Linked DNA regions of Ovis aries. The protein of the gene in region 1 purifies or fractionates together with the protein of each later gene. This does not show direct contact. Links are inferred from orthologs where the notes say so. Each region holds a gene or a part of one and is shown on either strand. Other genes may lie near its edges.

Region 1 (4,297 bases):
ATAACAGATCAGCGCTCACCAAAAGGTCTGGGGCAGTTCCAAACAGCTGTTGTGGGAAATACTATTGCTCTTGCTCCTGATTTGAGTATTTAATGATATTTCATGCAGACAGACATAATATCAATGGCAAGGATAAGAAAGCAGGAAAGTAAGGATTTAAGTCGGCTTTTAGACACTCCGGCAGCTTCCCACTCTGTCATCACTCCCTGCAGAGCAGAGGTGTTACTACTGAAAGATACATTCACAACTAGGGCTAAAAGAGACCCAGGACATTAGGGTCCACATGGCCCTGAACCCAACACAGCCCCCACACACGAGGAGCCTACAGCCACGCGCTACACACACACCCAGCCCGGTGCCTGCACACACAGCGCAGGACTCCACATGAACACACACACACACACAGAGCCTCTCACGCGCACACACAATCCAGATACAAACAACACCCACACTCATCCCTCAGACCCAACACAGGCACGCACCCCTCAGACCCAACATGGGAGCAGGTCCCTCTGAATTCAGCTGGTACACAACCATCAGAATCAATACCGGCACACGCACAAGCCTCAGAACCATCACAGACAAGACAACCTACAGAATCCAACACACACATACACCTCCCAGAGCCCAAACGAGTGCCCACGCCCCTCAGAACCCAAAACACACACACAGACACACACACCACACAGGACATACACGCTTCAGAAACCAGCAGAGACAAGCACACTCCTCAGACGCATATGGGAATACTCCACCCAGAACCCAGCAAACGCAGACGCCCTTCAGAGCCAGCACGCACAGCCCTCACCCCCAACACAGACAGGCAGACTCCCGAGACAGACACAACACGGACACACAACCCTCAGACCCACCATGAGCACACACCCATCAGACACAACACGGACACACACAACCATCAAAACCCAACATAGGAACAAACCCTTCAGGACAGACTCACAAGCCGCAGACTCCAGGCACACCGCTCAGACACCAGCATGTACAAATACACCTCACAACCAACACAAAGCGGGAAGGAGAGCGGGATGGATTCAGAGCAGCACAGACATCACTGTGTGTAGACAGACAGCCACTGTTTCACGATGGGAAGCTGCTGTATGACACAGCTCCCATTCAACGCTCTGTAACAACCTAGAGAGGGGGATGGGGTGGGGCAGGAGGCAGGGGACATAAGTGTCCCCACGGCTGACTCGCGTGACCTATGGCAGAAGCAATTATCCTCCGATTAAAAATAAACTGTAAACAAGCTAATTAAAAACAATGCAACCACACACTCCTTAGAATTCATATGGGCGCACGTAACCCTCAGACACAACACAGGCACACAGCCCTCACCACAGCCAGGGACCATCACCCTTCAGAACCCACCACGGGCGCAGACACACCCCCAGACTCTGCACAGGCGCACACACACATCTCAGACCCAGTAGGGGTAAACACACCCAGCACCCCAAACCCACACACACACCACTCAGAGCTGCTACAGACACACAGCCTCTAGAATCGATAGGAGCACCAACACCTCTCAGAACGGAGCCCGGGGAGACACAGTCCTCAGCCCCAACATGGGAGCAGATAACGAGCCTGACACACACCCGAGAGCCAGCAGCGACGCAACAACCCTCAGATCTAAGAGGCACACAACCTCTCCGAGCAGAATCCTCCAGAACCCAACACAGAAACACACACTCCTCAAAACCAGCACAGACACACGTACCCTTCAGGACCAAAATGGGCGGATCCCAACAGGGGCAAGCCTCAGAACCACACAGACACACACATCCCTCAGAAGCCAACCAGGGAGCAGACGGCTCAGCACAACCGAACGTACAAACCCTCAGAACCACACAACCCTTAAGAGGAGCGCAGATCCCATAGAGCCCACGCGCCGCGCAAGCACACCACAACATGGGCACACACACTCCTCAGAACCTTCGGGACACACAACCGCCAGACTCAGCAAAGCCACACACACCCCCCAGAAGCCAACGCACACTCACCTGAGAAATGACACGCACACACACACACACACACACAGCACGAAGCACCCAACATGGTCGCAACCACCCCTCAGACCCGACGCTGGGACAGACACGCCCCTCAGGCCCCACAGGGTAACGCCGCACACACACCAACACGCACACAGCCCTCAGACCCACCTCGACATCCATCCCATATCGTCAGAGAGGACAAACCCCTCCCAACCGACAGGGTCACACGGCCCCCAGACTAACTGGCACACACACCTCTCAGAACCTGAGGGAGCGAGACACACTCCTTCAGACGCAGCAAGGCTCAGACGCCTCAAAAGCCAGCACACGCACGCACAGCCCCTGAGCCAAGGCGCACACGCACGGCAGAGCCCGGCTCGACGCTCAGCCCTTACACCCCTCGCGGCGCGCACCGCCCAGAACCCCACACGCAGCGGCTCCGCCGCGGCAGACCACGCACGCCTCACGCCCGACGGGCACACGCGCCCCCGGGAGCCCCCGGGAAGCCCCCGGGAAGCCCGGCCCCGCCGCCCCGCACCTGGCGCAGCGCGGCCTCCGCGGCGCCGCCGTCCCGCTGCCGCAGCTGCTCCCGGAAGCGCGCCACCTGCTCCAGCAGCGCGTCCACGAGCGACGGCGCCGTGTCCCCCTCGAGCGCGGCGAGCCGGGCGCGGAGGCGCGCGATGAGGGCGTCCCGGGCCGCCAGCTGGTCTTGCAGGCGCTTCAGCCGCTGCCCCGCCTCGTGGTACAGGCCGCAAAGCGCGGCAGCCGCGCTCGGGGCGCCCTCCCGCCCCCCGGACTCCGCATCCCCGGACGACATGGCTGCGGACCCGTCCCGGAGGCGCGGACCGCCGGCAACTTCCGTGCCGGGTCTGGGCCGGGGGAGCAGTGGGGCGGCCCACCTTCCCGGAACTTTTCCCGGCGCGCCCCGCCCTCCGCGGAGATCCCGGGCCCGCCCCGCGCCGAGAGGCTGGCCCCGCCCCCCGCGGACAGCGTGCTCCCGCCCCCGCCGAGAGGCTGGCCCCGCCCCCCGCGGACAGCGTGCCCCCGCCCCCGCCGAGAGGCTGGCCCCGCCCCCCGCGGACAGCGTGCTCCCGCCCCCGCCGAGAGGCTGGCCCCGCCCCCCGCAGACGGCGTGCCCCCGCCCTCGCCGAGCCGCAAGACCCCGCCCCCACGGACAGCGTGCCCCCGCCCTCGCCGAGCCGCAAGACCCCGCCCCCACGGAGAGCCTGACCCGCCTCCCGCCGAGCCGGCAGGCCCCGCCCCGCGGGCAGCTGGGTCCCGCCCTCGCCGAGCCGCCAGGCCCCGCCCCCGAGGAGATCTGGACCCTGCCTGCCGCGCGGACCTTGGCCACGCAGGGTCCCCACCCGCCCGGGTCCTGCGGCCGCTCCACCCGCGGTTCCTGGCCTGTCCCAGCAGCCTCATCGGCTCGTGTCGCGGGAGCTTTCAGCGAGTCAGGCGCGGACAAGGAGAGGGGTCAAACGGCCTCTATTTCGCTCCTGACGGAAGGAAAAGAAGTGGCCAGAGAGACGACCCCGAGTGTTAGCCCCGAGCGTGGGCCCGGACCCCTGGGCTGCAGGCCGGCTGCCACGCCGAGCACCGGGAAAAGGGCGGCCTTCCAGGAACTGAGCCCGGCGAGGTACCCAGCCCACCAGCGAGATTCCAGAGCCCGCATCCCCTCTCCGAGGTGTAAGAACTGCTCTTAGGGTAGAAGGCAGGAGGGAGCTGGCCCTTTCCTGCCCTGTTTCTCCATCCGCTCCATCTGCCGGCTCCCAGGCCGACTCCGAGGGTTTTCCCATGGCTCCACGGCTGTTTACTTTTTCAGACTCCGAGTGTCCTCCACTGTAATGCCCAAGCACACCTGTGGTCTTTCGAAGGTTCCCTGGCACACCCTTCTCTGCCCCCGTCCCTGGGTCCCCTGAGAGCAGCGTGGCGTTTTTTCCCCCTCTACATAATCCATACCCGAGCTTGGGCTGAGCCCAGGGAAGACACTCACAAGCTGGTATAATCAGAATTATAAGTGTAGCCAGCTCACACCTCCTCCGCTGCAGAGAGGTCAAGGCTGGCTGCCCCCACCCCTCAGGTGTGTTGTGGAGACTGGGGGACGCAGTACAGGGTGCCTGTGCCCACACGCCCGCAGGCCGCGTGGTTAGGGCTCGGAGACATTCCTGTCTGTGGCACTCCTAATAGGCTATGCAACTGAAACAGTTTCAGTCGCTCTGCGGCTGCTAAGTCGCTTCAGTCGTATCTGACTCTGAGACCCCATAGACGGCAGCCCACCAGGCTCCGCC
Region 2 (3,749 bases), on another chromosome or scaffold:
CCTTCTCGGTGTTGTGCACTTCAAGTTCTAGGAAACAGGCATCTCTTTATCATCAAGCCAGTGTTTACAATCTTGATACCTATAAACCCGCACTCTGGGTCTCTCCTCCCTGATCCACGTGGCCAACTCATGTGGCTGCTACAGAAACACATTCTACAGCCCAGCCTGCATGTGATGTGTCTGCCTTACCCAGAAGCCAGGAGAATGAGGCTTTTGTTTCTAAGAATTTTCACTTGTTAGTCTAGCACTAGGGCAATTAAAAGAAAAAAAAGTATCCTTGATGTGAACGCACTTTTTGAAGCCACCGTGCTGGCTTCCAAGCATCCAGATACACAGGACAAGCCTCTGGAAAAATTCCTTGTTTTCATTTGAAAACCAAAGTCAGTGCCACTTAAGCTGATTGTCTCTGACACACACAAGCCCCTAAATTTGTTTCACGTTGGAGGAAACTGGCTTCAAATAACTTTACTATTGGTCTCTGAGGCAGAAGCAGCTTAAAGATGACACAGGAAAGAGCCAAAAACAAACTGCTTACTTTGCAGCATTAATTAAATGGGTGGTGCCATGGTCCCAGCCCTGAACGGGGATTTCTACCACCATCAAGTACTCTTTCAGGAGATTTTCCTTCATCTCGTTTTCAGGAACTGTCAAAAAGTGAACTTTTAAGTCTTCAAATCGTCCTCGCTCTCTGTTAACAAGTGGAACAGCTCGGATTTCTGAGGGAAAAAGAAATAGCACGTAAGCAAAATGATTCTACTAAACAAGATTTTGTGTGAGGTCATATATATATATAACGACTGCATTTTGAAAATGCAGAAAGGATACAATTACAGAATGGAAAAGTATTATCTAGCCACAAAATCAAATGGGGAAACAAACTGTGCTAAACTCTAATATAAAATATACTGTTTCCAGGAAGTTCACAGAATATAAAGCAGCCTCCAAGCAGCGGGTCTTACTGGTTAAATTACTGCACTTCAGATTCAGACTGACCTGAGTTCAGATTCTGACTCTGCCACTATCCAGCTCTGTGATATTAGGGAAGTTACTTAACTTCTCTGAGCTTCAGGTGCCTCATCTGTACAGTAAGGCTATCAGTGCTTATAGCATCCACATGGATGCTGTGAAGATGAAATGAAATAAAATATTGTACCTAAAGCATTTATAAAGTACCCTATTAGTTCCACATTAAGCTAGTACAGTAATAGCTAGCCTGCCAGACATTTACTTGCCCCAGGCCAGGCACTGTATTACGGGTTAATTAAGAAATGGTGGCAGTAATAGACATTATCTCCTATTTGCCACTAACATGCTCAAAGTCGGTCCCAAACGACACACAAAACAAGAGGGGATGGGGGGGGCATTATGATTAGTGTGAGTGCATTATTGTTGCTAATCAAACAAATTACAGAATACTATATTTAAATAAAACTAATATACTTAAATGAGGCTTTCAAAAAGGAGCCAAAGAGCAAACCCTGACGTTCAGTAAGAACAGGGTGTAGCAGGATTCAGAAGCAGTTACAAATGTGAATAGATGCTTGGTTTTCTCACCAGGTCCACTGTCCTTCATGGTCACCAGGGGTACAAAGTGTTGGCTGTCATAGCCGAGCACAATGGGGTATCTGTAGCATTCCTGGGCAGGCCAGTGCAGAGGCAGGTAAATCCCACCCACCTTCAGAGGAGCAAAATTGGAACCTGATTCCAAACTTCTCAGCATTTTGTCTGTTTAAGGAAAGAGAAAGAAAAGATAAGGCCCTCTGAGACTTTCATGGGAGTCCATTTAGCTATGGATGCTTGGAACTTGGGTCATGCTAAGAGGTAAGGGATTAAAGCTGAAAGGCACCTAAATACAGAGACGCCATCAGCAGGCATCTCACCTGAAATGACAATGATTGGCCTTCTGAGGATGTTGCAAAGGACAAATATGTGTATTTCTTCCAGTGAATGATACTGCAGTCCACCTCGGGCTGCAGGTGTGTCTGCGGATGCCATCTTGACGAGGTTGTCCCATTCATCGGTCCAATTCTAAGGGGAGAGGAAAGAAACTATTGAATGCATTCTGCATTAAAAAACAACTTTGGCTCCACTCTATAATTATTCACTGGTATCACTGAGCTTACTTTTACCCTTTCTTAAGATCATCACTCAAATTATCACCCATTTTCCCCCCAATTCTGGTTTTCTTCCTTTACTTTTTCCCATTACAAGGCAAACTCAGAAGCAGAGGAGCAGGGGGACAGCACCTGCTTTCAGAAAAATCCCTGCTGAAACACCACGCCGAGCTCCTTGTGCACAGAGTCCCAGCCTTGTGGCCGAAGATGGGGAGGTGCCCTCTGAATCTGACTGACGGGCTCAGTAAAGCAAGCAAGGGTCATCAAACTCCCCAAACAGCCAAAATGCCACAGGGAAACCTGTGATCAGAAAGATCATTCTAGAATGACTCTCCAGCTGGGAAGATGCTGCCTGGGAGCCTCCCAGCAGTGACAAGGGCCTTGGGTTCATCCCATGGGAGGTTTCTGGTGTTTTCCATTGACTCTGCTTAGCCAAGTTCACGTGACCCAGCAAACCATATGCTCCCTGACAGCAGGGACTGGCTGGAGATGCAGTTTTCCCACCATGGAGCTCTGTCAATAAATGTTTGAGGAGGAACCCCAACATACCCGGGTGTCGTAGCAAAGCCCAGTTTCCACGAATTCCTGAGACTTAAGAGACTCCAGCTGCCAGCGGAATTTAAAGTTGCGCGTGTCCGTCTCCTTGAGGGTGCTGAAGAGCACCTTCCTCAGGACCAAGTCTGTGTCCTGAACACCCCACATGTACTGAGAAGCCGCGTGCATGAGGCAGTTTCCGTCACCTGAGGACAGAAGGGAAGCAAATTCTAGCAATCCGAATCTAAGGCCTAGCAGAGGTTTCCAGAATAAACCAGCCTCTCTGCTACCGTAAGTGGGGACCCAGTAGTGCTTGTGAGAAACGCCAAAGGTTTAGTTTCTTTCTTTTTTTTAATTTAAATTTATTTATTTTAATTGGAGGCTAATTACTTTACAATATTGAATTGGTTTTGCCATACATCAACATGAATCCGACATGGGTGTACATGTGTTCCCAATCCTGAATCCTCTTCCCACCTCCCTGTCAAAGGACCAGCTGGTAACATTTCACTAGGTGATGACAGCTTTAAGGGAAAAATAAAAAATCTTTCTTGTAACTCTTCTGTTTAATGAATGCTTCTAACAAAGCCCAAGGAACCAAGGACTGAGAGTCTGGAGACCTTGACTCCAGTCTGGTTCTGCCCTCAGTGGGGAATTTTTTAACCTCTGAGTATTTTTCCTCTTTGTGAGATGAGGGTATTGGATTATGATCTCTGAAGTCCCTTCCTTTCTAACAAGCCTTGATCTTCTGGCTCAGATGCTGGTCCTATTGCTCTCTGACCCTGAGAGAGAACACCCAGAGCAACATGCTCAAACCAGGAAGCTGGTCTGGCTCCGCTTACTAGACAGGGACCGTCTGGCCATGACTCAGGGGTAAATGACTTGACCAGCCCACCACAGCAAGCAGGGCCTGGGAGTTTCCTCTCCTGATTTATAAAATGGGATTGAGACGGAATTACCTACTAGCCTGCTCACCCCTACCTCCCATAAATGCCTTGTGTGAACCCGCCTGTTAGCAATTAGAGTCCCTTTTCAGAGTTAAAGAGTGTCTAGATGTCTACATTTGAAAATTGATTCAGTGTTTACGGCTGGCACTTTAAG
Region 3 (3,749 bases), on another chromosome or scaffold:
TGATTTTGCAATCTTGCTGGCAATTCATCTATAGGTGAACACAGCTGGCTTCTAACAAAACAATTCACTACATAGCTGACCTAAATCACTGTGTTGTTTTGAAGTGAACAAATGCGGTACACAAAATAATAATAATTAAGTACTTGGTACAGACTCTACTTGTTCAGCACCACCCTCCATATATTAACCATCTCTCCATTTATATGCACCAAAGGAAACTGAGGTGCTTTCATCATCAGTTAAGCATGTTTTGCAAGTTCCCACCCACTCCTTTGAGAATTGTTCTTTTCCAAAAATTAGATCACCTTTAGCCAGCACCTACATTCACCTTTGACACACTAAGAGACTAACCACACCCCAATACATCACCTGATCTTCTATCGTGGCAACTAAGTGTTGTCACAATATTTTGGATTATTTGCATACTTAGGATAACTAAACAAATATATCCCTTGTTATTTATACCTCACCAATTAAAGAGAGAGCATCTCTGGATAACTACTTACTGCCCACAAACTACATTTCTACAAGAACTGAATTTACCCAGTATTAATACTATGATGTTTCAAGATGTAACAAAAGAGGAGCACAAAAATTCAGACTTCAAAATTGTTAATTAAACAGAACATTCTTTGACATAAATTATAGCAATATTTTTTGGATCTGTCTCCTAAAGCAAAGGAAATAAAAGCAAGAATAAACAAACAGGGCCTAATTAAAACTAAAAACTTTTGCACAGCAAAGGAAACCAAGGACAAAACACAAAGACAACCTACTGAACAGGAGAAAATATTTTCAAATGATACTACCAATAAGGAAAGAGTGAATATTCAAAATATACAAATAGTTCCTACAGTTCTTCAACATCAAAAAAATAACAACCCGATTAAAAAATGGGCAGAAGACCTTAACTGACATTTCCCCAAGAGGATATGTAAATGGCCAATAAGCACAGGAAAAAATGCTCAACATCTCTAATCACTGGGAAATGCAAATCAAGACTACAGTGAGATATCACCTCACACCTGTAAGAATGGTTATCATTGAAAAGAACACACATGCCGAATGCTGATGAGGATGTGAAGATAAGGGAATCCTCCTACACTGTTGGTGGGAATGCAAATTGGTGCAGCCACTACGGAAAACAGGATGGAGGTTTCTCAAAAACCGTAAAAGAGAACCACCACATTCCCAAGCAATTCTACTCTTGGGTATATATCTGAAAAAATGGAAACAATAATTCAGTCAGACACATGTATCCCAGTGTTCTCAGCAGCATTATTTACAACTGCCAAGAAATGGAAGCAATCTAACCATCTGTCAACACACGAATGGATAAAGAAGATGTGGTGTACACACACACACACACACACACACACACACACACACACAATGGAATACTACTCAGTCATAAACAAGAATGGAATTTTGCCATTTGCAACAACATGGATGGACTTGGAGGGTATTATGCTAAGTGAAATTAAGGCAGACAAACACAAACACTGTATGATATCACTTATATGTGGAATCTAAAAAATAAAACAAATTAATAAATATTAAAAAAAGAAACAGACTCATAGAAAATAAACTAATGGTTAACAATGGGCAGAGGGAAAGGAAGAGGGCAGAGGACTCAGAGGTGCAAACTATTATGTGTAAAATAACCTATAAGGATATACTGTGTAACATAGGAAATATAGCCAGTATTTTAAAATATTATACATGGAGCATAACCGTCAAAAATTGCCAATCATTATATTGTACACCTGTAACTTATATAAAATTATAAACTATACTATATTATATATATATAAAGACAAAGTCTTTATTTCCCTCTCACATGAGTCTCAAAGCCTTTCTCTTTGACTTGACAAGTGAGCTCTTTAGTGAATCATGAAATTAAAATTCATTCTTCTTAATTACCTATCTGTAGAACTACTTCTAAAGTAATGGATAAGATTCTTTAAACAAAACTTTTAATGAAGGCTGTATTTTTTGCATCTTTCACATGGAGGTCATTCTTACAGATATTCCATCTTTAGAAACCGTACCTGGCAGCCAGTCTGAACAACATTCAAATCCCACTCAGCGTTAAATGTAGCAGGAGTAGGAAGCTGAACACATAGCACTCAACTGATGAGGAAAAAACATACCATATTTAACAAAATTCCAGATTCTTGAGGTCGGCATCTGTATAAACGCTTCGCAGTGTTGGATATGTGGTTTGCAAAAGCAAGCAAGTCCTCCACGGTCCCATATCTGACTGAGGACAACCAGGGCCCCTCCTGCCCACTGAGCAGCAGAGACTCAGACCGCTCCTCCTCGTTGTGGTTGCTGTCCTGACACATGGTCAGCAGACTGGGTTCATAAACCGCTGGCTCTTCACTTGCATAAAGATTTTCCATAATGTCTATCACATCGGACACATTCAAATGTTTCATTAATAAATCGAGTTCTTCTTTGTTGTCACTCCCGGTGCTCATGAACTCCATCACTGTTGGGCCCTCCAAGGAGTCTGCAGAAGAAAGCGCGACTACTTACTTTACTGTGTTTGTATTTGCGATCAATAGGAAACTGACAAGACTGACTAGGTACAGGCTTCTATGTGCTTTTGTTCATAAAATAGGGGCTTCAGCCACAGGGTGTGTGAGGTCAAGTGCACAGACAGTGAAGAAGGGACCTGAGATAACCTTTAATCTGGCGCTGACTTTACAGAGAGGAAACCTGAGATCCAGTGAACTCACTAGCTACCCACTTACTCACTGAATTGCTGGCATCAGCTGTAGCCTCTGAAAATAAACATTCACTAAACCCAAGTGTGAATTTGAGGAGCAGGAGCTGAAGCACCTGGTTCTTGACAGTTTCCAACCTGCTGCTCTCCCAAAAGGGGCAACCCTTTCTGCATGATCTCTGTGACTTTTAGGCCTTGGGTGAATTTAAAAAGAAAAGAAACTCTCTTGGAATTCCCTGACAGTCCAGTGGTTAAGACTCAGCCCTTTCACCACAGGATCCCAGGTTCAATCCCAGGTCAGGGAATGAAGATTCCTCAAGCCACATGGTGTAGCCAAAGATAAATAAATACATACAATAAAAATAGAAATACACTTAAAAAAAAAAAAAAGAAATTCCTTTACCAAATTCAGGAGCTAGCTTTGCAAATCAAATTCAGGTCTTGAAGCCAGAAGCATCTCAAATGGATTGTAATCTAAGCAAATTTGGTGATGGTAAATCAAGTTTCAGGAATAATTCTGATGCAAATAAATTAAACAGCTCACTTAGAAGGAAGACAGCAAACCTCTAATCCTCCTTCTGCTGAGCATGGCTATGAGAAAGGAGAAGATTCTTTTAACCTGTAATCAGCCGTCCCCTCCTGTGACCAGAACTCTTTAACAGGACAAAGCATGCATCTCACAGACTCAAGAGGGTTCATTTAACATCTAGATCAATGACTCCTTAGAAGTTGTGGTAAGAGGCCAGGGCAGCCAAATCTATCATAAGCAAGACACAGACAAGGTCAACTAAGTCTGCTTAGCCAAAACTGTACTTCAGTTTTTCAGACACATCAGGAGCCATACTTGGGGATCTGTAAATGTGAAAATGAAGAGAAATGAAGGGTAAACAGTGAGGCTGTAACCCAGGATTTTGGAATAATCCCATCCCAAAGGGTTAAAGATAAAAGGGCTTAAGGGACCTAAGAAAATAGAAAGGTATGTATATCTACTTAAACTACTGCACTCCAAGCAGCCTCT
Region 4 (4,260 bases), on another chromosome or scaffold:
CACAACTGAGCAACTGAACTAATGGCCTATATGGGAAAACAAACAAACAAACAAAGTGGATATATGTACATATACTTTGCTGTACATCTGAAATTAACACATTATAAATCAACTATACTCCAATAAAAATTAAAAACAACAACAACAACAAAGGTAGAAATCTACTAAAACAATTTGCTATTCTAAAAGGTCAAGGAAGAAAACCACAAGATTGATCACATTAGATGCCAAAATGCCATATATGACAAAACTCAACTTCCACTCCTGATAAAAATGTTTAGTACTAAAGTAGCAATGAAAATACATCAACAAGAAATATATACACCAAATGAAAACTCAACATCTACTGTTCAAAACTGCTCTCAAAGTGCTAGCCAATGCGAAAGAAAAAACAAAAAAACCCCAACTTCAGACACAATCCAAAATCTATTCCCTGCAAAAATCCCAGTAGCTAGAAATATTAGACACTTCTTTGATAAATAAAATTATTTGAAATTTATTATAAAATTCATATTCAATGATGACACAATAAAAATAACTGCAAATGAATAAATATGATAAGGATGGCCAGAATCACTGTTATTATATATCACTGTTTTGGAGAAACTATAAATTTATAAACAAAAGAAAGATTTAAATATAAAGAAGGAGTTAAGATTATATTCAGATGACTATTTTCCTAGAAAATTCAAGAGACAATTTATTAAAACCAGTAATTTTAGAAAGTTGGCCAGATATATAAATCATCTACATGTCAGTCACAAAATATTAGTGGGTAGTTAAACCCCTCAAGGGCTTCTCTGGTGACTCAGTGGTAAAGAATCTGCCTTCAAAGCAGGAGAATCAGGTTCATTCCCTGGGTTAGAAAGATCTCTTTCCAAGATAAGGAAATGGCAACCCATTTCAGCTTTCTTGCCTGGGAAATCCCATGGACAGAGGAGCCTGGTGGGTTACAGTCCATGAGGTCACAAATAGTTGGACATGACTGAGCAACTATACAGCAACAACAACAAAACTCCCCAAAGAAACCTGTTTTAATGAAATATACATAGTTTACTTTAAATTTTACCTGAGAGAGAACACAATCACCAAGGATATTTGAAGAGGGACTTGCTTTATGAATGACTACAAAATGCCTAATCAAAGAGAGATTGGTAATTGTATAGGAAGAAGCAAATAGAACAAAGGAACACAAGAATCCAAAAAAGACTCATGTAGGCCTGGAAATTTACTCTATTAAGGTAGTTTTTCTAGCCAGTTGGGAATGAATTGATTTCAGCAAATGATTTCAGCAAAAATGGCTAAATCCCTATCTTATACAATATTCAAAAATAATTTTCATACATTTAAATGAGTAAAGCATAACTGTAAGAATATTTAATGAACAATATAGGAAAATATTTTAATAATTTTTTGGTGAGGACCATCTTCTTAAGTGAAAACCTGGGCATTTTAACCCAAAGACTGATAGGTCTTGAAAATATTCGCCATATAAATCACAAAGGGTTAATATATCTGTATCCTAATGAAATACAGATTAAATAATTGTGAAGAACAAGGGCAAAATACATAGATAGGCCATATTAAGAGATGTTTAACTACATTTGGAACACCCAGGCAAAGAAATCCCATGCTGACATTAAGGTAAAGCAGAGCTATATATGGTAAGATTTCCACTATATATATTCTATCTGAAAAACCAAATTATAGGACTGTATGCACATACAATCTTATTTTCATAAGAAAGCGAAATAACACGTTTATGTACACATAAGAGAGATGTGCAAGGCGCTGGAGTACCTGTGGCTGGGGAGAGGGCCGTGAAGGAGTTTCATTTTCTGCTTAAAACATGACTGTTAGCACTTTAGGGTTCTCGGTTCTCTTCCCCTCCCCAATGAGAGGGACAAAACATTTTTTCAGCAGACTACAGAGCTCGCTTCTCTACTCCCCCTCTCTGAAGTGTGTATTCCCGTCGTGGTAGGGAAACAGATCACGCTATTTTCCTCTACTTTCGGGTCACTTCATGACACTTTATATAGCAAAGGCTGCTCTACTTCTCCCTGCTACGGCATAGTAAGAGACACAGAGACTCTTTGGTTTGAGTATCTTTCCCCTCCTTGCTTCACTTCGTGACGAGCACAGCTTGTTACACGTGTAACTCGTCACCAGCCAGTTTACACCACGCTAGGGATTCCGCCTAACGCCCGGTTCCCACTGGGGGCAGGGTTTGCTTCTGCTCTTTCTGCCTCAGCCATCCAGTTTCTCCTTGACCCTCGGGGAGGTTACCCAACTTCTCAGTGACAAGGCTATGATGACACCCCGCAGGAAAGCTGAGAGAGAAACTGTGCAATAACCTTGGGGGAAAAACAACAGAAAGAACCTAGGAAGTTTTTGAAAGAGTAACAAAGATAGTATTAACTTCTGGAAGGCAGCCTCCGGTCCTCAAGAGGGGTTGGGACCTCCAGGTGGGGTCTACTGCTCACTCTGACATCACAGGCCTGCCTCCCCGGTTGGCAGGCCAAGAGATCAAGTCACAGAGAGCGGCCGACGCGGAGTCGGGCAGGATCCCTCCCCGGCAGCCGTCGCAGCAGGGGCCGTCGTTGCTGCGCAGACGCCATGGGCCCGGAAAGCCCCTCCCGGTCCGCTCCGGGACAGGGACCCAGGTGATTTCCTTCGCACAAAGTCCCTCCCCACCATGAGAACTGGTTGTCACTGCAGCTCCTCGGCTTCTCTCCCTGTGGCGCCCATACGGCCAGCGCATCCCTCTTGCTCACACACACAAGTTCTCCGTCGCCGTGCCCGATGCATTCGGACACTGCAACTCGCTAGCGAAGTTTCTTACTCACAGCTCAGGGTTTCCGCACCGGTCTCTCCAGTCTCAAGTCGCCCGGCGCCCAGCCGAGTGACTCCAACCGGAAGTTGTTTTCCGTTCCAGTTCAGAGGGCAGCGCCTGCGCGTGGATCCCTTAACCCTTCACCCTCCACCCCTCCAAGCCAGACCGTGCCCCTGCCGCCACTTCCCTCTAACCTCACCCAAGCCCCGCCCAGCCCTGCCCCGCCCGGCGCAGCCCTGCCCGGACTCAAGGGGGACAACTACAGACCCGGAAAGGCACTCGAAATCAAGTTTAAAGGCCAGCGGAGGGTCTCTTGTTAAAGATATAGATTCACCCTTAGAGATTCCCAGAGTTAAGAGCTCAGCTAAGTCTCTTCAGTCTTGTCCAACTCTTTGAGACTTAGTGGATGGTAGCCCATCAAGCTTCTCAGTCCATGGGATTCTCCAGGCAAGAATACTGGGGTGGGTTGCCATGCCCTTCTCCAAGAGTTAAGAGCAACTGGGGTGAATTCCAAGAGTCCTCATTTTCAGCAGATGTTCATGTGAATGTGATTAGGGTTATTAAGCTCCACATGCTGAGAAGAACCCCCCCCACACACACACACACACAAATATACACACAACACACACCCATTTGGGTTTTCCCCAACTAGCAACACCTATCATTAAAAGTACTTGCTAAAGTTGAGTGATTGCTACATGGAAGTAGATCTCTATTAAAAAAATTTCCCCTAACTTAGGATTCTCCATTATTCCATTTCCTACCCATGCTTGAATATTTTCCAAGATGAAAAGTTTAGACAGATACCTCAAGAAAAGTTTTAGCTCGGATATCTACTATCTCAGGCAAGTTGCTTAATCTAATGAATCTTGATTTTCTAAAATCTGACAGCAAAGGACAATGATAACCTACTTCACTGGATGGATGCTTGCAGGATCAACTGATAATGTAAGCCAAAAAAAAAAAACAAAAACCAAATATGGTAAAATTCAAAATGCTCTGCAAATGAGAGGGGCTGTCTGGAGTCAGTCATGTCATCCTGGCTCCTTCCCACCATCAAGCACATTCCTATTCCTTTTAGGAGAAGAGCAGTCAAATCCACAGCATATACATATATGGACTCTCCCTGAGAACACTGAAGGTTGGGACTCTCCACATTGACTGAAGTATAACTGTATTTGGCTGAATGCATGTTAACACTTCCAAAAGCTTCCATGGTGATGACCTACTATTTATTTAATTAAAACAATATTTTAAAGAACTGTCACTATTTTTGCATGTATCTGACAAGAGTTGTGGTGTTGAAAAAGACTTTTATCACCAAGCACAAGCATATTAAGGGTGTTGAAAATAGCAATTTCAAAACTAAGATTGAAATGACCTTGAATACCGTATATTGTTGTCCTGCAGAGCCTGCTCTAGAACAT

What was found.
Region 2: the proteins of TNIP2 (region 1) and TNFAIP3 purify together in Homo sapiens (affinity purification with western blotting; 5 studies listed by BioGRID and IntAct, with this or other methods). This does not show direct contact. The link is inferred for Ovis aries from reciprocal best matches to the Homo sapiens genes TNIP2 and TNFAIP3.
Region 3: the proteins of TNIP2 (region 1) and MAP3K8 purify together in Homo sapiens (affinity purification with mass spectrometry; 3 studies listed by BioGRID and IntAct, with this or other methods). This does not show direct contact. The link is inferred for Ovis aries from reciprocal best matches to the Homo sapiens genes TNIP2 and MAP3K8.
Region 4: the proteins of TNIP2 (region 1) and TANK purify together in Homo sapiens (affinity purification with mass spectrometry; 3 studies listed by BioGRID and IntAct, with this or other methods). This does not show direct contact. The link is inferred for Ovis aries from reciprocal best matches to the Homo sapiens genes TNIP2 and TANK.

Annotation. Positions count from the first base shown.
Region 1 is NC_056059.1:116,696,479-116,700,775, reverse strand, and holds the start of TNIP2 (TNFAIP3-interacting protein 2), read right to left. Parts: upstream 2,937-4,297; 5' UTR 2,827-2,936; coding exon 2,548-2,826; intron 1-2,547. UniProt on the Homo sapiens protein: Inhibits NF-kappa-B activation by blocking the interaction of RIPK1 with its downstream effector NEMO/IKBKG.
Region 2 is NC_056061.1:63,031,965-63,035,713, reverse strand, and holds part of TNFAIP3 (tumor necrosis factor alpha-induced protein 3), read right to left. Parts: intron 2,855-3,749; coding exon 2,664-2,854; intron 2,029-2,663; coding exon 1,881-2,028; intron 1,726-1,880; coding exon 1,555-1,725; intron 717-1,554; coding exon 536-716; intron 1-535. UniProt on the Homo sapiens protein: Ubiquitin-editing enzyme that contains both ubiquitin ligase and deubiquitinase activities.
Region 3 is NC_056066.1:34,691,185-34,694,933, reverse strand, and holds part of MAP3K8 (mitogen-activated protein kinase kinase kinase 8), read right to left. Parts: exon of another isoform or gene 3,135-3,749; intron 2,516-3,134; coding exon 2,154-2,515; intron 1-2,153.
Region 4 is NC_056055.1:148,618,444-148,622,703, forward strand, and holds the start of TANK (TRAF family member-associated NF-kappa-B activator), read right to left. Parts: upstream 2,905-4,260; 5' UTR 1,836-2,904; coding exon 1,801-1,835; intron 1-1,800.